Linked DNA regions of Oryzias latipes. The protein of the gene in region 3 purifies or fractionates together with the protein of the main gene of each other region. This does not show direct contact. Links are inferred from orthologs where the notes say so. Each region holds a gene or a part of one and is shown on either strand. Other genes may lie near its edges.

Evidence for each region.
Region 1: the proteins of sirt6 (region 3) and g3bp1 purify together in Homo sapiens (affinity purification with mass spectrometry; 3 studies listed by BioGRID and IntAct, with this or other methods). This does not show direct contact. The link is inferred for Oryzias latipes from reciprocal best matches to the Homo sapiens genes SIRT6 and G3BP1.
Region 2: the proteins of sirt6 (region 3) and usp48 purify together in Homo sapiens (affinity purification with mass spectrometry; 3 studies listed by BioGRID, with this or other methods). This does not show direct contact. The link is inferred for Oryzias latipes from reciprocal best matches to the Homo sapiens genes SIRT6 and USP48.

The regions. Positions count from the first base shown.
Region 1 is NC_019868.2:28,987,349-28,991,566, reverse strand, and holds the start of g3bp1 (ras GTPase-activating protein-binding protein 1), read right to left. Parts: upstream 2,930-4,218; 5' UTR 2,803-2,929; intron 108-2,802; 5' UTR 86-107; coding exon 1-85. UniProt on the Homo sapiens protein: Protein involved in various processes, such as stress granule formation and innate immunity. Plays an essential role in stress granule formation.
Region 2 is NC_019863.2:19,936,326-19,940,431, reverse strand, and holds the start of usp48 (ubiquitin carboxyl-terminal hydrolase 48), read left to right. Parts: upstream 1-1,263; 5' UTR 1,264-1,406; intron 1,407-1,800; 5' UTR 1,801-1,804; coding exon 1,805-1,938; intron 1,939-3,544; coding exon 3,545-3,665; intron 3,666-3,761; coding exon 3,762-3,903; intron 3,904-4,106.
Region 3 is NC_019875.2:22,338,225-22,342,317, reverse strand, and holds the start of sirt6 (NAD-dependent protein deacetylase sirtuin-6), read right to left. Parts: upstream 2,898-4,093; 5' UTR 2,785-2,897; coding exon 2,719-2,784; intron 2,217-2,718; coding exon 2,089-2,216; intron 1-2,088. UniProt on the Homo sapiens protein: NAD-dependent protein deacetylase, deacylase and mono-ADP-ribosyltransferase that plays an essential role in DNA damage repair, telomere maintenance, metabolic homeostasis, inflammation, tumorigenesis and aging.

The DNA.
Region 1 (4,218 bases), on a different chromosome or scaffold from region 3:
AGTCAGGGGCCTGGTTCAGGAGCGTGTAATACTGTCGGACAAACTCTCGCCCGACCAGCTGGGCACTTGGCTTCTCCATCACCATTTCTTTGGTCAGCTGGAATTCTCTGCAGAGAAAGAACAGAAGGGAGCGTCTGAGCTGCGGTGGTTATCCAGGCGGGGGGGAGCCCCACAGCCCTCCCCAGCGACCAATGAACCTCTAAAAAGAATCTCATGGTTCACAGCTGATGTCTGCCACGCCCACAAGAACCAACGGCAGCATGGGGGCAACAAGCGTTGGGTGGACAAAGCGAGCGTGAAATGGAAAGTTAAACAACTGCTGCAAAATGACTCATCTTTAGCTAATGTTTCTGTTGCTCTGGCGACAACTTACAAAACCCTAATCAACCAAATGTGGGGAAACTTCTGAAAAAAGGTGCAACACGAGCTTCCCACTCAAATGTAGTAGAGAATTTCAAACAAACCTTTATTAGCAAAGGTAGCAGAACAAAAGAATTTCATCGCTGACGTTCATCCAGAGTGATCAATGTCACACCAACCGAAACCTGTGACTGAGTGAGCGACGGTTCTGAAGTCACTTCGGATCCAGGAAACGGCTCCAGGTCCACAACACGAGGGGGAAACCCCCCCCCAGATGTTTCAGATTGTGTATTTGGACGCCATGGCAACCGTTGAATAGAAAATAAGAAAAATGTTTAAGTATTGCAGATGAGGCATTTATTCTTGTTTACGCGAGCATTAGCCATGATTTCCCAGGAAGGGGACGAGTGCAGTAACAATGCCCCCCCCCCCCCCCCCCCCCGTCTGATGTGGAATGAGGTTAGAGACCATCCTCCAGCATCATGCAACCAGCAGCCGCAGTCTGAATCAGCAAATTTCAACACCAAAGAGAGAAATCCTCCTCTGTAGAAAAAGCCTATAAATGTAATACATGTGTACCAGATAGCAGAAATGTGTCGTTATTTTCTCACTAAAAGAAAAGTGTCACCAGAATTTCTACATGTTATGGAGGATGGACCAGGATCTTTCAAATGGGATCCCAAAACCACAAACCAAAGAAGCCTGCTTTCATGGGTGGGGGCGTGGCCTTCCAACAAGCTCACTCCTGATTGGAGTCAGACTGCAGGCCTTAAGGGCCGTTATCCAGCAGGTTTTTCAGAAATCAGGTGTGTTTAGCCAATAAGGAGCTTCAATTTCAAGTTGATGGGAAGACATGTGGGACACAGGCCAACGAGGCCTGGAGTCTGACACTTAGAGTGGTTGCCATAGAAACACCGATCAATTCAGATCAACTCTACGTCTGCCTCCAACATGGCGCCGTCCGTTTCACAAAAAGACAACAAGAAGGCGACTGGAATTCCTTCAATGGGTTTGAGCCAGAAGTGAACCTTCCTGCCTCTCCATAATCAGAGGACGATCAGTTTGCATTTACACTGAAGTGAACCACACCAGAGTTCATCTGCAAGTGGATTAGATCATCTTGCCCTGATGAAACCGGATTCTCTAATTGAACAGTTCTTTGGGTTTAATACATCCCCACTTGAACCTGGAAGCGCTTTCACGATTCTACAGGGTTTGACCCCCCCGGCAGTGACGGGTTCTTCCGGGTTTCCAGGATATTCCTGATGTTTTGCACATGGCCATGATCCTGGATCAGGAGGGATCAGCCAATCAGAAGATGTTGATCTTCTATTCTGTCAAGTGGGTTTCACGGACAAACCAGGAGGGACGGTTCAGGGAGCAGACGTGCCGCCACAGACGCACATTCTTCTCTTCCCACTTCAGTTCAGCACCATAAAGCGGATCTGGGTTCAAATACACCAGAGGTTCTGCTGACAGAACCGGAAACTGTTGGCTTGGAGGACCTGGAAGGGAAAGGTGAAGCTCTGAGCCCAGAAGGCCACGAGCCACTTTGACATCTGTTCTCACGGCCAACAGCCATCTGCCATTTTTAACACGGAACGGCCCGGGAGCTCCCGCAGTCACGCGGGTCTGATCCGCGAGGGGCCTAACATAGACGGGACCAATCATTTAACGTGCTTCCGCAGAAGTGCGTGGAGATCTGCACGCGCGGCCCGCAGACAAAGACCACGCCGCGGGAACGGCGACGGAAACGGCCGACCCGCGCGCTCTCTTTCCGGGACCGCGCTGACACGCGCCCCCGAGGCCTTGACAAATTTAACCGGGATTCACGTGTCGTGCGCTGTCCTGGTCCATTCCGATCTAATCCGGGACAGCTGGACGGGCCCACCAACCCCAAAAGACGAATTCTGACGGGGGGGGGGGGGGGGGGGGGGGGCGCTCAGCAGCCCCAGCACGTGTCCCGGGCGGTGCTCGTCCACGCTCCGATCCCGACGCCGAGGCCACAAAATGACGCTTTTAACATCCAAAGACGCGTAGAAACGAAGCTAACTCTGTTTAGGGAAAAGGTGAATTTACCCCACGAAAAATAAGGAAAGAAAGCTGGAAAAACCAGAGGGGGGGGGGGGTGTGCTAACGAGGGCTGCGGCTAATTCCTGCAGCTCAGAGTAAAACCAAGCCGTCGTGGGTGATTTGTAACAGCAACAATTTCATACATATGTCGGAAAAAACCCATTCCGGACTTCTGATCGCGATTAAAAAGCAAGTATAAACGTTTAAATCGGATTTCAGCGCGTCCGTCTATAGACCGCGCGACAATGTCAAAGGAAGCTAACATCAGGATGTAGATGGAGCCCGGATGAGCCACCACGTTAATCCTATTTTCATTCTAGTTTCACTTTCTGCCTGGATTCAAACAGTAGGTTTGACATTAAAACTTACCAATGAGTCAATAGTTTTTGGAAAATGTATAAATATATTTTTTAATCTATGGACTTCGACGAGGCGCTGGCGCGGCTTCGCGGCGTGCTGTAGAGCCCGGGTACCGGTTTCACCTCCGCAGCCAAATCTGACGTCCCTCCGTATAAAGAAGCTTCAGCCAATGAAATGACGCATCCACGACCCGCTGACCAATGGGGTGAGAGAATGGCAAGCCTCCCGCGCATCCAGCCAATCGCGAAGCTCCCTCTATTCCAAGGGAGCCAACCACCGCGCGGCGGTGGCAGAGGGTGCGATGGTTATACCGACAGGCGTATCCCGGCAGATTCTCTACACAGATGTGCACCAGCGGCTGTCCACCGCGTGGAGGCGACAAATGCGTTCAGAATCAGTGATTTTAGGTCGCCGTGAATTTTTCATCCAGAATTATCCACCGTCATCAATCAAAGGGGTTCGAATGCGAGAGTGCTTTAGCTTTAAAATAAGCAGGTGGGTAAATGTAACGCCATTGAGACTGAAATGACTGCAGACAGTCAGAGCAGACTGGAAAAATGTCTGCTCCTGTAGTGCACTAAAGAAAAACGTGTAGTGCACTAAAGAAAAAGAAAAGTTCATCTTTTTAGTCATCTTTTAAAAAGACAAACTAAACACATAGAGCTACTGATCCCATGACTAAACTGCTGCAGATGTTTGAGCCTCAAACCACAATATGGCTGTCATGATGTCAGCACAGAGACATCAGCTTAAAAAAAAAAAAGAGCTGATATTAAATTACAGATGTCTTCCGTTGTTTCCTCTGTCAGAGTCAGGGGGAGTTTTTCCTGCTGGGGCACGCTGGGTTCACGCCGCTGTGCATTCTTGCTGCTGAGGGCTGGATGAGCAGGTACAGATGGTAACTGGGTGCTGCGTCTCTCCCTCTGCCGTCTCCCAGGGGACCACGAGCAGCTGTGAGCGGTCGCTGCCGGATGCCGTTTGCTCTGAGAGGACTGCATGTTCGGCACAGGTTTGCTGCAGCCCTAAAAGGTTACTTTTCCCACTGTTTGGAAGACGTTTTAAACATTTATACTCTTCAAATGATGGGGGAAAAACACACATGGGGTTTATTTGTGAAAACGAATAAAACCTGGAGTGTTGGGTCTTGAATGGGGGAAGGAATGCCGGAGCTCCTAACATTGAAGGTTAGACTGGTTGAGATGTTGCACAGCTCCTACAGACAGCAAACAGAATCAGGCAGCACTCAGACGCAGATGATGGATGTGGTGGCTTTGGCTTAAATGCTGAACCGTCTGCAGATAATTGAAGCTGGTGGTAAATTTAAAAAAAGAGGCTGGGAAATGTGCAAACAACGGTTTCAGTTTAACAGATAAGATGGAGGCTGACAGACACGATGTTCAGTTAACTGGATGTTCTTTCGTCTGA
Region 2 (4,106 bases), on a different chromosome or scaffold from region 3:
TTGTGAGTGAGTTTTGTAAATATCATTATGTTGTCGATTAGTAATTCTGAAACGGAATATCAATGTTTCATGTAAAAAAAAAGAAAGAAAATCTTGCTGTGAAAATTTGCTTTTGTGTCCATTACCACGTAAAGATAGGTCTAATCAGTCAAAAGAATAATATGTAACATAAACATATAATTCTACATATTTTAATAGCTGTCACAAACTAACCAAACATTGCACAAGGCATTTACAGTTGAGAGTTTAGAAATGTACTGTTTTAATTGTGCAGTGACAATATATGATATATACAATATATACAAATATATGCCGGAGTACCACCATATTCAATTTGTGTTTACAATTGCTTTTCAACGAAAAAAACACTTTTTTAAACCTGAGACAAACATTTAAGACATAATGGACTGTTGACTTTAAAAAAAAGTAACATTTTTTTCTTTTTTAATTGAAAAGAAAAACTTGGGGGTTACAATATGTGTGGCAGTTGTACAAGGTGTTCATCAAATTAAAATTAGAATGGGCACATAAAAACATGAACAACAATTATAAAATTAAGTAAAAGAATATACGATAACACAAAAAATACAAACTTACATTAAATAAGATTAAAATAAAAAAGGGGTTACATGGGCATTATAATGATCATAATCTTATGGGTTATCAAAAAGCAGTAATTTATTTATGATACTTTGGAGTTTCACGGCAGGTTTATATTCCATGAAGTTTATAGATGAAAAATAAGAGCAGAGTTTTTATGAAATGTGAAAAAATATGGTTTGATTTTAAGGAATCAGCATTTGTGTATTTACCCTGGAAAATTATAACTTTTAAAACCATTTCTGTGTTTATGTTTTCTAATATAAAACCCCAAAATTATGTCCTGAATAGAAAAATCTGCTAAACATGGACTCTTGAGGAAAAGCCAATAATGTGCATTGTTCCAGGAGGCATTAGAGTAAAAACGTTCAAAGAATAAACGCTCAGTTGTTTCAATGTCCTCATTACAAAAAGAACAACAATTTTCAGGAATTCCAAACCGTTTTCTGAGCAATTCATTGGAAATCAGAAACCTAAAAACGTTTTAAAGTGGACTTCTTTGGCTTTAAGAGGTATGGAAAGTTTTAAATATTTAGTTCGTATTTGTTTCTTTTATAAATTATTCTTTCCCCCCCCTTTTGTATTTGTTAACAGACATGTTTGTGTGTAAAAACAAACAAACAAATAAAGTTATTGGAAGGGGAAAAAACGGCGTACGTTGCTGCGTCATTGTCTGACGTCGTGTTGATTTTGAGCGCAGAAATTATGTATTTATAAATTGACGCAAGCGCGCTAAATCTAAAACAAGCTGTACAAAAATGCCAAATTACACAAGTGTGTGGATAAAGTGGCGGCACTCATGAAAGGTTCGAGCATATTTGTTTTTAACACAATAAATTCACATTTTGTCGTCAATTCGCGGTAAAAGGAAGAGGCTCAGCCGGTCGGGCTAGCTGCAGTTTAGCCTTAGCGGGGGGACTTAAGTTGTGAGTTTGATAAAGATGTTCTTGTTCGAGAATCACAATGGTACGAGCTTCGCTTGAGGCTTGGATTAGGCGTTTGTTCACTGGACTTTGTGTTGTAAAGCGTAGCACAATATAAGGTTGCCGGTTCGGCCAGGAAGCCGTACTTTTGTCCTCTGAGAACCAGGCAACTAGCTTAGCTCCGGCTAGCTTATTGGGTTAGCATCCTTGGAAAACCGCCCGATTATTAACCAATTTGCGTAAAAGCGCACAAACACTGGGGATCGTTTAATTGCAGGATAATGGCGCCTCGTGTACAATTGGAAAAGGCAGCTTGGCGCTGGGTGGAACACGTGAAACCAGAAGAAATCACACAGGAGCACATCGAGTTAGCATATCGCATTAACCTCCCGGCCTGCAAAAGAGGAGCCTGCAGGTACACAGCACTCATACTCTGCTCATCATGTGTCTGTCTGTGCATTTGTCATTTTGTCAACAGTTGTGTGAACTTTACTGTCTGCCAAAAAAGGAAAACCGTTTCCAACGAAATGCACAACATACTGTTTAGATTGTCAAGCTAGCTTTTTATGTATTAATTACCATTTAGTTTGGAAACTATACTTATTATTGTTTTCAAATGATCAACAAACGGGAAGGTAACTACTAGGAACTACCGGGCTGTTCATTAATTATTGTTCTACCTACTTAGGAAACACAGAAAATGCATCTTATGTATTCAGCCTAAAAACAAAACAAAATTAAGTTACTAAAAATGTAAAGTTAGTATCAATTAGAAACAAAATGATATTGTTTTTATCCTTGTAAATCAAATATTAAGTAAAATAAAATAAAATTCAATGTAAATGAAATATGGAAAGGGCTGGCCTTGACTGGCTTTGACTTAGACTTTTGAGGTCTGGAAAGCATTGCCTTCATACTACTGAGTGATGAAAGGATTAAATATTTTTAATACCAAATGGTGTTTTATTCAGTTTGTGTTTGTTCCTTTTGTTTTCTCTTTTCTTTAAGAACACAACCCTGTAAAATGTTTCAATTGAAATTAATAAATATTTATAAACACAGAACAAACTCTTTAAAAAAAAGTCCAAATAATATATTTTTTTTAGTATTTCTTTAAAAAAAAAAGACATTTTACTCAGTGAATTGTACATGAAACAATAAATACAGTAAATAAAAGAAGTAATCACTAATGATGTATGTACAAAAAATGTTTTATTAGCATTTATTACCGGGGTTATTTCTTGATTCCTTTCTTTCTGAGTAATTCTGCATTATTTTAAAGTCCTACCAACAGCATTTAAAATAAATTTTAATTAAAAATACTATGTTGATTTTTTGTTTTTCCAGGTTGAATTAAGCCATGGTGTTTTTGTTTTTGTAATTTGGCAAACGGTGTATTTTGACATCAATGTGGCTAATTGTTGGACACAAACACTGCTGTTTGCACAGCTAAAAAGTGCCACGTCAGATTAAACACACATTCCTGTAGAGTCATGCAGATCTCTGTGAATTGAACAACAGCAAGTCTGAGCATTTTGCCCCAGTCTGTGTTAACTTCCTGCTCTTTTAAATGTCTTTGCTATGATGATTCAGCAAACCAACATTCAAAAAGCTGCCATTGTCCCCGCAGGAAAGTAGTTTCCATTGGTGCTACTGGTCTCCATGCATGGAGTCAGTTATCAGATGTTAGGTTTGCTTCATTCCCATTTGCTCTTATAAAGTGTTAGTTTTACAGAGATTATAATACCTTTTGTTTCTTTTTACATGATTTTTGTCTTTGTTATCAGACAGAACAGTGGCTTGGAAACTGACTGAACCATTAAGGCTACACTTTAACTGGTAGTTACTACGTTTATTTGATTCACCAACCTTTGACAGAATTGGTCTTTTGATTCTGGTTGTGTTTGAATTGTTCTTAGGATGCTAGTCCGGTTGGCTCCGGGACAGACGAGGGATGAAAAGCCTGATAGAGGTTAGTTTTGTGAAAACAGGAAATTAATCAGCTGCGTTTACATTTACAGAAGAAATTGCAAAGGAAATCCCAACTGCCTCGTGGGTATTGGTGAACAAGCCTGGCTCGGGGAGATCGATGAGAACACGTTCCACAACATCGATGATCCAAATTCTGAACGGCGAGATAAGGTCTGTCTGTAATCCTCTGCAAATAAGTAGGATTTGATTATCCTGTCTGGATTTCACTTCACTTCCTCTGCCCGTGTCTGACACTTCCCCCTCCAGAACACATTTGTTGGACTGACCAACCTTGGCGCAACATGTTACGTCAACACATTCCTGCAGGTGTGGTTCCATAACCTGGAGCTTCGGAGGATCCTCTATCAATGCCACAATTCACGAGCACAGGAGCACGACACGGACACAGGTGCGTTCAAAAACGTCCACACCAGGACAAACAGCAGCGGCTAAGACTGCAGGTGTAGATGTCTATAACGCTCACAGGGCGCATGTTGGATGACCGCATTTCTGGTTCAATAATCACAGTCACATGCAGAAAAGTTTCACGCTCAAAGAAGAAGCTTGTTAGGAATAAACAGGAAGAGTTTGGATTTTAAAAAGTCAATTATT
Region 3 (4,093 bases):
GGATGGCCCACAAATGCATTGGCTTGCCTCCCAGAACAATTTAGTTCCTCATTACAACTTCTACAACAACAAAAATAACAAGAGTACCAGTAATAGAAAAAAAAAACTCTGACTATTTTAATATTTGCATTGTTTTAAGTGTCTTACAATAGTTAACAAAAGAGCAAAGTTAGTTGATTAAAGTTTCTTCCCACGTTGAGCCCTAAAAATGCATTGAGTTTTCCTTTTTATTCCACTTGTTTATCATGCCTGAATAAATGAAATAAGAGTCATTACCATTTGTTTTTAGAGCTGATGAGTTGAGTCGTGTGTGTTGGACCTTTTAGGACAGGGGTTCCCAAAGACAAACATCCTATTTCAATAACAAAAGTATCTTTTTTGTTCATGTTTTTAATATTGCTACTTATCCTAATATTAGATTTAAGAATGAAATAAATTAAATGAAATAAATCAATTAGTTTGATATTGGAAAATACCATTTGGATTGAGGCAAATGTGAGTTTATTTTACTATACCGTAAAAAGTGATCAAGTGTAATCACCATGGACAACACACATGTGATGGCAGCAAAAACCGATCAGTGCATCATTCCAGTTCAATGCATGGAAACACTTTGAGTTTTGCCATGTCATGTGACTATACAGTAGAATGTTCTAGTAATGTTCTGTTTGTATTATTTTGATGTAGATAAACAACAGTGGGCTGAACTTTGTTTGCACACATATTTAATTTACACTTGATTATCTTGCAAGAAATACAAGGAATCTGGAAAACTTCACCTGCACTGTTCAGTACCAGGTATTTATCTCTGAGTCTCACTGGTTGAATTTTTGGCTTAAGATCGATTTTAGGTCAGTGAATCGGACTATTTAAAATGAACCTATATCAACTATGAATCAAATCAGCAACCACAAATTAGGATACGAATCAAATAGTTACAGTGGAACTATGGTCATAGCTGTTGTTGTTGTCATCTAAAATGGAAATAAAAAATGGTGTCATGTTAATTTCATTTATGTTTTTTTATTTACTAACATTCTAGTTTGTCTGTTAAGATTAATCATGAATATTGATCTATTCCAGCCTGTCTTCAGTTATATGTGTATATTTTGGAAAGGGTCTATTTGCACGTCATTTTCGAAATAAGTGCGGCCAGCCCTGGGCTTTTTTTCTTGGCCACACAGACCTAGAACAGGGGTTAAGGTTAGGATTACAGTTGTGGGTTGGGTTAAACCACCAAATAGCTCCTGAGCGCGGCTGTTTTTGCACCTCACCGCTCCTCCAGGAGATGGATCAAAGGCAGAGAACATATTTTACACACCTAGGTGCATGACAGATAATGGGACTGTAACTTTAAGTTTCATTTTAAACACCTGGGGCCAACAACAAAATGCAACCTTGGACGCACTTAACCCTTGTGCTATCCTACGGGGTCAAGATGACCATTGACATGTTATCCCTACCGTGACAAAGGTGAATAAAAGTGGAAAGATTTCATGTAATCCATGGACACCGGAGAAGACCACAAATCATTGAAGAAAAAAAGGTTCAGCGCACTGTCTAGTGGGTCTAGACTCTAGATGACCCAACTCCCAATGTCAAAGTGCCTAGGATAGCACAAGGGTTAAAAGGCACCATTATGTATCTTGGCTGCAAGCATTACGTGTGGCCAACATAAATTTCCATAACTTTTTGTGCTTGTCACATAATCGTGTGTGGATAACATCAACCTTTTTTTATGTACACATCATGTACGATTCGGTGGAGAAATTAGTTTAAAAAATGTTTTAACTATGATTTTAATAGGCTCATTTAATGAATGTTTAGAGTTTTTTTTTTAATGTAGTTTATGTAACTTTTTAGGGAATTTTAGGATCAAACAAGTAAAATAGTTGGACATGCTCCCAAAGAAAAATATAGATATTTAGATAGATTTGTTTGTGTGCAAAAGAATCAATATTATTCTGATTAACAGATGCGCTTCCTGTCATATAAAATACATATCCTATGTTTGCCTTTGTCTGATGTTGGCATTAGCAGCCAAATGTGGCGTACAAAAACAGAATTATCATTAGAATCGTGTCTCACCTGAAGTCAGGGATGCCGGCTGAGGTGCTGATGCCAGCTCCAGTGTGGACGACCAGGTACTGAGATTCTTTAACCAACTCAGCAAGAGTCTGCACCTTCTCCTTCAGCTCTTCAGGACTGTCAAACTTCTGCCAGAAGACACAAACAAGTCCTTTTAGGAATGAGCACAAGCAATCATCCATGCATGTGTTGCTAAGATTGTTGGTCCCGAGATATGAATTCATGAATAGCTTCACGCTTTTATCTATTTATGTGACACGTTCGGCGGACAAAGCCATAGCTGAACGTTAGTACAGATTAGTAAAAGGCTGCTTTAAATCTATTATGAAGGAAAACAACAACTTTGCACCCATCAAATTTTGTGGATATATATGATACAACATCCCAACAAGAATAACTATATTTGAAACAATATAATTTATTATCTTGTTAAACCAGAGCTGGAATTTAAACTCACTAGAACGAATAAAAAAAATGTAAAGAGAGATTTTCAAACAAGGGGCTGGTCCTTAGCAAGTGTTTTGTTAGATAAAAGAGCAGAAGGATCACAACAGCAGGACAAAAACATCGCTCATGATGAGCTGCTAGCTCATTTAGCATGAAAAGCTCTTTAATGTAGTCAAAATTTACCTCAGGAAGGCCGCAGACCCCCTTATCTGCGTAAGGTGACAATCCGGCAGCATAATTTACTGACATGACTCTGGTAACTGTTGTCTTTGTTGTTATTTTCTGTTTGAAAAACAGTCCCAAACCCGAGTTTTAGGTTTGAACTGCGGCGTTTGGATGACGACATCAATGTGCGCCGGCATGTGATGCATTCAGAAACCATAGGGAACATCATTGATACGATTCACACCATACAGACACAGACTTAAAATAGTTTATTTTAGAATATGAATAAGTTTGAGTTTTGCATTCTTACATCTACATAAATAATAAAAAAGTAATAAATAAAAGATAAAGACTGACATGTTTGGTAGTTCAAAATTCCTATTTCCCTCCAACCTCTTGAACACACATGTTCAAGTTACTCTTTATAATTGAATTTTAAGGTATTATCAAAAGTTAAATAGCATGAGCAAACTAAATGCTGTTGTCTTCAGCTGGAACACTTTAAATGACTTCCTTAAAATAACAAAGCACAACAAAAAATTGGATTTCCGTTATGTGCAGTCATTCCAAGCACTTCAATGAATGTTTCTTTGAAATAAATCTTTATTTTAAATAGCTGGGGGGGAAAAAAGAGACATGTGAATAAAACACTTTAATCATTCATACAGCTACATCTGCATATTGGAAATTAATTGCTTGCCTCAACAGTTGTTTCAAATGAATTTTTATCCTGAGAAATTTAATTTATTTACTAAACTTACTTCAGACATTAAAGTTATCAATACTGCAGATTGGAAAAAAACTAAATCAAAAAACACCATCCATACTCTCAGAAAAACACCAACACCCGTCCAGAATCACCCAACAAAACAGAGAAGAAAATTAAAATAAAGAGGATCATTATTTCTTAACATTTTCATTTGCGGCGCAGAAAAACGTCAAGAATCTAGAATCAGACTACGTGCATGATTTTACCTAATAATCTCACAGGTGACACCATTCAGGTAAACTATGAAGGAATTTAAAAGAAAAATAAATTATAATGAATTTCAACCAAACCAACAGAACTACATCATTTTTCATAGGTTTTGGAGTCTTTATAATGCTGCTTTAGCTCTTTGGGTCCATCAGGTGTTTCGGAGTGATACTGTGTTTACAACTGGATGTCTTTAAAATAGCAATCAAGTATTTTGACTACGATTCAAACCTTTACTCCAAGTATGATTAGTTAACAAAACAATTGTTGCTTTTTCAAAAACGGCCCCACACTTCGAGAGCTCAAAAACATTTCAAATCCCCCACCAACTCAAACACTTTTCAATCTCCCCTTAATTCGAGGTTGTTTAAAAAAAAAAAAAAAAAGACACACCCAGAGTGACAGAGAAACACATTC